Saccharomyces cerevisiae S288C: one gene and its partners. Changing the gene in region 3 together with the main gene of any one other region gives a genetic interaction. Each region holds a gene or a part of one and is shown on either strand. Other genes may lie near its edges.

Region 1 (3,760 bases), on a different chromosome or scaffold from region 3:
GAAATTTAAAGCAGCAAACAGCGTCTTGTCTTCGTACTCTTTAGTGAAGCTAAAGATCTGGTCACTGTCTAAATCAATGAATTGGAAATCGTAACCATAAATCATAAGTTCCTTATATTTCTTTCTGGCTTGCAAGGCCCTTTTCCAAAAATTGAGAACTGAGTCATCATCTCTGGATTCCTGCTCAACATTGATTCCTTGCTCGAAAGATTCATTCAAGAGAAACCAAGGTTTAACATCTGGGCCAGTAAATCCAGCATTGGGCTTATCTTTCGTCCATGGCATGGGAGTTCTCGAATGATCTCTAGAAAGTAGGGCGATTCCTTTAAAAAAATCCTTCATTTCCTTCGAGTTTTTACCAAAACTTTTTTTGATAATCTCGTAGTTGTTTTTCACATCAACGTCCTCATACTTTTCAATAGGCCATTCCTTGAAATTGATCTGGCCTATCTCCTGACCTTGATAGACATACAACGTACCTGTCAATGAACATTCTAGCAATGTTAACAGCTTACCAGATATTTTACGGTACTTTGGCGAATCGTCAGCAAATCTCGTAATTGACCGGGCTTGATCGTGATTCTCGATGTAGGTGGTAGCCCAACTATCAGTACCGTTAATGAACAAAAAGTTCGATGCAATGGCTTCTTTCCATTGTTTCAAGGTGAAGGGCACTATGTTATAACGGAAAAATGGCGAGGTACCAACTTCAACGTGCGTGAAGGAGAAAACTTCGCTGACTTCGTATCTAGCTGCACTGGTGTATAAAGCATTATCACTTCCATGGGCAACTTCACCGACTGTCATTATTTCTCTACCATCTTTCACCCTGTTTTTCATAAATCTGTGTAGTTCTTGATGATATTCATGAATCCTAGGACCATTGTGAGACCCCCAATTTGGATGTTGTAATTTCGAGGTTTTGTCAAAAATTGGGGAATCTGGTAAACCAGGACGTTTCGAATACAAACCAGCGGTATCGATTCTAAAACCATCTACACCATGGTCCAGCCAAAATCCAACAGCACTTTCAAAGATTGCCCTTCTGCAGTCTTCATTCTCCCAATTCAAGTCAACTTGACGACTCGCAAACAAACGGAGGTAAAATTCATTTGTAGTTTCATCAAAAGTCCAAGCTGAACCACCAAAGAAAGATTTCCAATTGTTTGGAGGAATTGGCTTGCCTTCGGCGTCATAACCCTTAGGAGGTCTCCAGAAGAACCAGTCACGCTTCGGATTGGTCTTCGAGGATCTGCTCTCTTTGAACCATTCGTGTTCTGTAGAACAGTGGTTGATAACCAAATCGGTGATGAATTTCATACCCAGCTTATGAGTCTTGTCAATTAGCTCAAAACAGTCCTCATTGGTACCATATGTGGGCCAGACCTTTTCGTAGTTGGATATATCATACCCCATATCTTGTTGAGGAGAGTCATAAAACGGACAAACCCAAATAGCATCAACGCCAAGATCTTTAATATACTGCAACTTGGAAGTGATACCTTTTAAATCACCCCAGCCATCGTTATTGGAGTCTTTAAAACTTGCTGGGTAAATTTGATAGATTGTGGCCTCTTTCCACCACTTTGGTTCTGTTTCTGGATGATCAGAAATAGTCATTTATGTAATTTAGTTACGCTTGACTGATGTACATTTGAGATTATCAAAAAAACTGCTTAAGAGATGGATGATTTAATTTTTTAGAGACGTATTAATGGAACTTTTTATACCTTGCCCAGAGCGCCTCAAGAAAATGATGCTGCAAGAAGAATTGAGGAAGGAACTATTCATCTTACGTTGTTTGTATCATCCCACGATCCAAATCATGTTACCTACGTTAGGTACGCTAGGAACTAAAAAAAGAAAAGAAAAGTATGCGTTATCACTCTTCGAGCCAATTCTTAATTGTGTGGGGTCCGCGAAAATTTCCGGATAAATCCTGTAAACTTTAACTTAAACCCCGTGTTTAGCGAAATTTTCAACGAAGCGCGCAATAAGGAGAAATATTATCTAAAAGCGAGAGTTTAAGCGAGTTGCAAGAATCTCTACGGTACAGATGCAACTTACTATAGCCAAGGTCTATTCGTATTACTATGGCAGCGAAAGGAGCTTTAAGGTTTTAATTACCCCATAGCCATAGATTCTACTCGGTCTATCTATCATGTAACACTCCGTTGATGCGTACTAGAAAATGACAACGTACCGGGCTTGAGGGACATACAGAGACAATTACAGTAATCAAGAGTGTACCCAACTTTAACGAACTCAGTAAAAAATAAGGAATGTCGACATCTTAATTTTTTATATAAAGCGGTTTGGTATTGATTGTTTGAAGAATTTTCGGGTTGGTGTTTCTTTCTGATGCTACATAGAAGAACATCAAACAACTAAAAAAATAGTATAATATGAAAAATATCATTTCATTGGTAAGCAAGAAGAAGGCTGCCTCAAAAAATGAGGATAAAAACATTTCTGAGTCTTCAAGAGATATTGTAAACCAACAGGAGGTTTTCAATACTGAAGATTTTGAAGAAGGGAAAAAGGATAGTGCCTTTGAGCTAGACCACTTAGAGTTCACCACCAATTCAGCCCAGTTAGGAGATTCTGACGAAGATAACGAGAATGTGATTAATGAGATGAACGCTACTGATGATGCAAATGAAGCTAACAGCGAGGAAAAAAGCATGACTTTGAAGCAGGCGTTGCTAAAATATCCAAAAGCAGCCCTGTGGTCCATATTAGTGTCTACTACCCTGGTTATGGAAGGTTATGATACCGCACTACTGAGCGCACTGTATGCCCTGCCAGTTTTTCAGAGAAAATTCGGTACTTTGAACGGGGAGGGTTCTTACGAAATTACTTCCCAATGGCAGATTGGTTTAAACATGTGTGTCCTTTGTGGTGAGATGATTGGTTTGCAAATCACGACTTATATGGTTGAATTTATGGGGAATCGTTATACGATGATTACAGCACTTGGTTTGTTAACTGCTTATATCTTTATCCTCTACTACTGTAAAAGTTTAGCTATGATTGCTGTGGGACAAATTCTCTCAGCTATACCATGGGGTTGTTTCCAAAGTTTGGCTGTTACTTATGCTTCGGAAGTTTGCCCTTTAGCATTAAGATATTACATGACCAGTTACTCCAACATTTGTTGGTTATTTGGTCAAATCTTCGCCTCTGGTATTATGAAAAACTCACAAGAGAATTTAGGGAACTCCGACTTGGGCTATAAATTGCCATTTGCTTTACAATGGATTTGGCCTGCTCCTTTAATGATCGGTATCTTTTTCGCTCCTGAGTCGCCCTGGTGGTTGGTGAGAAAGGATAGGGTCGCTGAGGCAAGAAAATCTTTAAGCAGAATTTTGAGTGGTAAAGGCGCCGAGAAGGACATTCAAGTTGATCTTACTTTAAAGCAGATTGAATTGACTATTGAAAAAGAAAGACTTTTAGCATCTAAATCAGGATCATTCTTTAATTGTTTCAAGGGAGTTAATGGAAGAAGAACGAGACTTGCATGTTTAACTTGGGTAGCTCAAAATAGTAGCGGTGCCGTTTTACTTGGTTACTCGACATATTTTTTTGAAAGAGCAGGTATGGCCACCGACAAGGCGTTTACTTTTTCTCTAATTCAGTACTGTCTTGGGTTAGCGGGTACACTTTGCTCCTGGGTAATATCTGGCCGTGTTGGTAGATGGACAATACTGACCTATGGTCTTGCATTTCAAATGGTCTGCTTATTTATTATTGGTGGAAT
Region 2 (3,703 bases), on a different chromosome or scaffold from region 3:
GTGATGGAAGAGCTTCGTAGTCGATTTCCTCAGCTATTGACAGTTCTGAAGTATTCATAATATTAACTGATATTTCGGTTGAGTTTTTTACTTCTTCACTTTGTACTTCTCACGAAAGTCTTCGTCAATAAACCTCTGATAAAGTGAAAATTCTATGAGATTCCAATAAAACCTCCAAATATCTTTATATACAGCTTACTACTTAGATAAGATGACGTTCGCCAATGGTAGGCAAAAGATAGCAGGGTGTTCTTGCCTTTCAGTCTTCGCCATGCTCTCATTCAAGAAAGGGTGCCAAAATACCGAAAAGAGACACGATCGGGGGTGTCAAAGTAGCGATTCCTGTGGGTTAAAAGAGGGTGAACCACGGCAAACATGCATGTGTAAAACCCAAAACGCCGATCTAGGGCCTGCGACGCATGGTACGAACATCCTGAAGGTATATAAAAGAGCTAAAGTCTTGACTCATGCCTGAAATCTTGATTTTTCATTGTTATATCCTCTCTATACATTAGTAAGCACCATAGATGGGCTGGCTATCAAAAGCGAGAAAAAAAAAATGCTGAATTCCAAATATGTACTCATCGGGGTGAATTTCAATGATGTGTTATGTAGATACAATATATATGTATAAGTCACTAAATGCATACATACGAGAGTCTACCTTAAGTTTGTCCAAGTGAAAAAAACTGGGCATAGCAAAAAGACGGTTGTAGGTATACCTGCGTATATGAGAAACCTTCCGACGATTTCCACTTTGGAAACACCGCTGTACAATAAACACTCTTCTTCTTCACTTGTCTCGTTATGGAAATGAACCTTTTCGCTTCTATCATCGTGAAATCTGAGTAGTTTAATTAACAGCGTGTAGACAGCTGTCTTGCTAATGACGTCTTTCCAAACAATCACAGAAGCGACACCTACCAGAGGCCTCAAGAACACCTTAGAACCACATGATGCGTACCTACTACATACAAGGTTCCATCCGTATCTTTCGGTTAACCAGTCGCTGCAATCCAGCCCACTGACTACGCCAATGAACGCTACGCTATCTTCGAAACAAGGACATTCATCAATGGGCCTGACGTGGTTAAACAGAATAAACAAGCCCCATGCTACACTCAAAAGGGGAAACCAGAGATGTTCACCAATCTGGAAATTTCGTAAAGCATGCACCACCCAGATTCTTATAAAAAAACAGATAGCTCCAACTGCGGCGCCGCTAAATAAATCCAGCATACCATGCATACCGCAGTAAACTCTACCAAAAACCAGGGTTAAGTAGTAAAATATCACCAGACTCAGTAAAAGAAGCTTTGTTGGCCATACCAGTGTGTCAGATAAACATATTCTCCAAAAGAATAATAGACTTACCGCAGTAGCGTTAGCAGAATGTGAACTGGGTGCACCATATTCTTTCGTAGTGTATTCACTTAGTGTGATTCTGTCAACTGGCGGTGATTTTGGCCTTGGTAGGCACCAATAATCCTTTAAGTAGCCACTCAAATAAATTGAATAACCAAGAACGTAGATCATGTCCCGTGTTAAATCGCGGTATCCAAGCCACACAGGCATGGGAAGCACGATAACATAAAACATGTGGGAACCCATAAGCGAAGTGTATTTGAAATAAACGTCTCTAAAAGGCGTTCTGTGCTTTTTTTGTAAAGAATGTACGAAATCTGATTGGTTGTCTGTGAATCTAGTTAGATACTGCCTTGTTTGAAACCTTAGCCACGACATCTGGCTCTCAAAATGCTCCGCTGGATGATTACCGGGATCTGCCAATAGGTGTTTGCCGCCGGAAGGAGCCATCTGAACCTTAATGGTGTCCTCGGTAACACCCAATTCAGTAACCGTCTGAATAATGGTCATAATTAAATTCTTTTACAGGCTTGCTATTTTGTATATTTTTTTGAAGACTACCACTGCCTAACTTCTTTTTGTCATGTTATCAATTCAACTAGATGTTGAGAAGGAAGCCAAGGCAAGGCTGATAAAAACTAAGAAAATAAGGAAAAATCATTATGTTATATAACATGAATTCTAGACGTACGTGCTCGTAGTTAGGAAGTATCTAAATAAGAGTCCCCACGTTACTTTAATTAGAAGCACGCCATCTTCCTACAACCGATTTTTTTGGATTGTAGATATCAGAGTCTCATCAAACAAGAGGAACCCAGAATAGGCACGTCCACTGAGAAAACCGCGGACAAGCAAGACACGCGTACCTGAAAAGGCTACATTTCTTGAAGAAGTTGTTCAGTTGAGCTAGCCACCTCTTTAGCCTGAAGACGTTCGTAATTCAAAATAGATTCCCTTGGCAATTGAAGCCATGAACTGAGTGAATCTGCAGGCTCAATCGTATTAGACAGTATGGCAGTAAGCCTTGCCCGTTCCTCTTCTTCACTTTGTTGAAGAAGAGGCTGTGGGATTCGTACCCCAGGAACGATCTGCAAATTGTCCGAGCCGCAGAATACGTGCGCACAAAGTTTAGCGACCACTTCAAGGTCTTTCTCTTCATCGATCTTTCCTCCGTATACGATCGTAGCTATGTGATCTCGCACTTGTGCCCAAGGAATGTTGTTGGTAGAATTGGTGGCTAATACATTCTCTAAATACACTGAGGCAAATTGAAAGTCGCAATCATTAAAGTAATACTTCTTGGAAAACCCATGAGGAACCAATCGGGTCCTGGCAGTGATCAAGGCATGAAACCATGACAATAGGAAGGTACAATACACGCTCCATACTCCTGAAATTTTACCAGTGAAAAATTGAGAACCCCATAGATCTTTGACGGTATCTAGTATACCTGGGATATCCTCATACACAAATCTATCAGTTCTTTGTAGCAATGGGGCAGGTAGTTTATCACCAGTCAAATGGCATGTCATGAACATTTTGAATTTCTCATGTTCTTCTGCCGCCTTTGTCTCCTCAACATGCTTGTGCAGATACGTTTTCACCCATGATAGCGACATTTGTATGTTTTGTAATAATATCCAACCACCTTCTATCTTAGATTTTGATATTTCCTCTTGAGCATAGTTTAGATTTTCTATAGACCCTAGCGGGATGATTTTTAACGATTCCTTCGAGGCTTTCGCCAATTCGATTAATTTGAATGTGCCATCAACATCTCGCTCGCTTGCCATTGTAAAATAGTTGTTCTCGGAATTGGCTACCACATCCGCGATATTCCACTCATCAACAAAAAACTCATTTTTGAACCAGTTCAACGCAGATATATACGATTTGGTTGTAACATAGTCCCATAAGTACCGCAAATCATTATTTGTATCTACGGTTAGTTTTGGTACGCCATCGCTACTTTCAGAGAGAACTCCAATCATAGTTAGAACTGCCTCTTTATATTGTTCACTTTCAATGTCGAATTTATACAAACAAAACATCGTCATAGCCATAATCATTTTAAATTTTTTGTCAAGAGCGGTGGAGAATTGACAATATACTTCTTGATATAATAGCCAAAGAATTTCATCTACCCGTGTCCTAGCTGCTCTTGTTTCCCTAGATTTCTTAATGAAGACACGTTTGAAACATGATAGAAATTGTCCTATAGAAATGCCGTAAAACCAATGAAACTGACCAAACTTCTCCAACATAGAGAATATTTTGACACTATGCTTACCGATAATAGAATACTCTTCTACCAGATTATCAAACTGTGGGAAAAACT
Region 3 (3,056 bases):
AACCTGGCAGTGTTGAGTATAATGCTAGATTGTGGAGACGTAACAGAAATGAAACTATTATCCAGGAAACACAGGGGGAGAAAAAATTATCGATTTATGGGAATTGGTCCAAAAAATTGATTAGTTTAAATAACAAAAGTCAACCAAAACTGATGAAGTTTGCCCAGTTTGAAGATCAGCTGATTACTGCAGATGATAGAAGTACCATTACAGTTTTTGATTGGGAGAAAGGAAAGACTTTGTCCAAATTCTCCAATGGTACTCCTTTTGGCACAAAAGTTACTGACCTGAAACTCATTAACGAGGATGACTCCGCCCTTTTATTGACAGGTTCTTCAGACGGTGTTATCAAAATATACAGAGACTACCAAGATGTCGACACCTTTAAAATTGTATCCGCCTGGAGAGGCTTGACCGATATGTTATTGACACCTAGATCCACAGGTTTACTAACCGAATGGTTACAAATAAGAGGATCATTGTTAACAACTGGTGATGTTAAGGTTATCCGTGTCTGGGATGCGCATACAGAAACGGTTGAAGTGGACATTCCTGCAAAAACATCATCTTTAATTACATCCTTGACGGCTGATCAGCTAGCAGGTAATATCTTCGTAGCAGGGTTTGCAGATGGCTCCCTGAGAGTATATGATCGCCGTCTCGATCCAAGAGATTCCATGATACGTCGCTGGAGAGCTGGAAATGATAAGCAGGGAGTTTGGATTAACAATGTTCATTTACAAAGAGGTGGTTACAGAGAATTGGTCAGTGGAGCTACCAATGGTGTTGTAGAGTTATGGGATATAAGGTCCGAAGATCCGGTAGAATCGTTTGTTGATCAAAACGTAACTTCTCAGTACGGTTCGCAACAAAAACCAACGACAATGACGTGCATGCAGGTTCATGAGCATGCTCCGATAATTGCGACAGGGACTAAACAAATAAAGATATGGACGACATCTGGAGATCTTTTGAATTCTTTTAAAAACTCACATAATAATGGCGTAACAAGTACATTAGCCGCTACGGGAATCCCAAAGTCACTGTCCTACTCTTCCACTTCTGATGCATTTTTATCTTCGATGGCTTTCCATCCTCATAGAATGATGATTGCGGCCACCAATTCTCACGATTCTATTGTAAATATCTACAAGTGTGAAGACGAGAGAATTGATTATTTTTGATATGTGCCATTTCTTTTTTTTTCTTTCATTTAGCTGCAAAAGAGATATATATATATATATATATATAATCTATTATATAATAAAAGTCGAGTAAAAAATTGGTCTGATTGTGAATTTAACAGCTGGTCGCAAGTTCTGGAATTTGTTGTTAATTATTGTTTCATGTTCGTATAATAATACGATGTTTAGTAAAGCAGAAAGTTCAGAATATTAAAAGTCTGTTCCAATAGTGTAGCGGCTATCACGTTGCCTTCACACGGCAAAGGTCCCGAGTTCGATCCTCGGTTGGAACATTTTAACATCGATTTTTTTGTTTGTCATAGCCAGACCAATTACGACGTTTAGAGGCATGCACTTTGTTAAATATTTTTTCTCTCTCCTTCGACATATTTTTTTTCCTGTTTACGTAACATTCATCCCCAGTCTTTGTATCATTTTTTTTTTTTTTTGGTGATGCGACAGCAATTCTGGCCGACACAGTCGTTTTCAAAGAAAAACTACCACAAACTATGGAACATAATTGAAAACAAAAACATTTACTTATAACCTACATAATGATTGAAGATACTTCATTGATCTTTACCACCTTCCTCGTTGAAATCTTTTCTACCATAGTCAGTATTTTTGGGAATTTTATAAAAACGCAAATTTTATCGAAATGAATCAAGGTTACACACAGCTTTCCGCACCGGAACTGAAGGAGACTAAAACATCGAAGCTAAATAAAATGAACAACTTTCGAAGCTCTCCGATTGCTGAGATAATTAATAAGATACCACCAGATTGCGGGAAGATACAGAATACAACATTTCCTGAGTTCAATCCAGCGTTAAGAAGACGACAACACGAACAGTGGCCTGCATACGAAAAACCAATAAGAGTTACTGACAGTATGTCACCACAGCTTTCTTCAATCAATTGTTTGCCAAATTTGTATCCCCACGGTACGCTACCATTACCAAACCCTTATTTATCCTATTTAAATCACATTGAAAAAGTTAATTGCCAAGATGTCAAGTTTAGTAACTGGAGTGTTTTACATAATTCGAATAATGGATTTGAAATTCCGACATATTTCAGTCCACGGACAACACAAAACATGCCTTGTTCCGAAAAAGTTGAAAGCTGGCTTGAAAGATTACCAATTTTTGTGGGGTTCGACGGTTATTTATTTACAAACTGCTTTGATTATGAATATATGTTGGATTGGGAAGAGACAGAATTTACATTCGAGAAAACATCATGTATGGAGACGGATTATTCTAAAGCTTTAACCGATACTGATATTATATATATTCAAGAGAAAAAAATTGAAGCGTTGATAAGAAACCAATATCTGAAGGAGTATGAATTTTCTCAAAAAGATTTTTGAATTTTGAAGAAAGCCATTAATATTTAAATGTAATTTTGTGTAGAATTATAATAAATTGATGTTTATGTATAGATCTCTCGAAATATATTTAAGAATATATAAATAATAAATGTACAACAATAAGCATAGAACATGGAATGAGTGTTCAAACTATATTCGTTTGTTTTTTAGATAGGAGTTCTCCAGACGTTTTCATCCAAGTTTTGTTTTGCATCATTTAAAGCTGCAGCAAGAACTTTGCTTTCTTCACTTGCAGACTCCGGTTTGACTTGAGTTTTTTTAATGGAAAGATTCCTCAAACTAGCGGCATTGACATTTACATTTCTTTTCGTGCTTCTTAAAATCAAGGAATCATTTGATTCGAGATTCTCCTTCTTTATTTCAGGTTGCGATATCGATGGAACTTCTGCAGTTGAAGAGCTGATATTTTTTGCCTCTTTCTCTTCTTTTTCCTGAGCGAGAAGTTCAACTAATTGATCGGGCTCAAGTTCTTTCGCAGA

What was found.
Region 1: mutations in PFS1 (region 3) and MAL12 together harm fitness more than expected from each alone (negative genetic interaction), as found in Saccharomyces cerevisiae (2 studies listed by BioGRID).
Region 2: mutations in PFS1 (region 3) and YSR3 together harm fitness more than expected from each alone (negative genetic interaction), as found in Saccharomyces cerevisiae (2 studies listed by BioGRID).

What each region holds. Positions count from the first base shown.
Region 1 is NC_001139.9:1,074,459-1,078,218, reverse strand, and holds the start of MAL12 (alpha-glucosidase MAL12), read right to left. Parts: upstream 1,621-3,760; coding exon 1-1,620. Other genes in the region: MAL11 (alpha-glucoside permease), read left to right, coding at 2,406-3,760.
Region 2 is NC_001143.9:533,407-537,109, forward strand, and holds YSR3 (sphinganine kinase YSR3), read right to left. Parts: upstream 1,876-3,703; coding exon 661-1,875; downstream 1-660. Other genes in the region: MRS4 (Fe(2+) transporter), read right to left, coding at 1-58; DYN1 (dynein heavy chain), read right to left, coding at 2,241-3,703. UniProt on the Saccharomyces cerevisiae protein: Dihydrosphingosine 1-phosphate phosphatase required for efficient ceramide synthesis from exogenous sphingoid bases. Involved in endocytosis and calcium-mediated signaling.
Region 3 is NC_001140.6:474,127-477,182, reverse strand, and holds PFS1 (Pfs1p), read left to right. Parts: upstream 1-1,842; coding exon 1,843-2,556; downstream 2,557-3,056. Other genes in the region: ubiquitin-binding TORC1 subunit KOG1, read left to right, coding at 1-1,184; SSP1 (Ssp1p), read right to left, coding at 2,724-3,056. UniProt on the Saccharomyces cerevisiae protein: Involved in the pathway that organizes the shaping and sizing of the prospore membrane (PSM) during sporulation. Required to localize MPC54 to all four spindle pole bodies, and localize DON1 and SPO14 to four prospore membranes.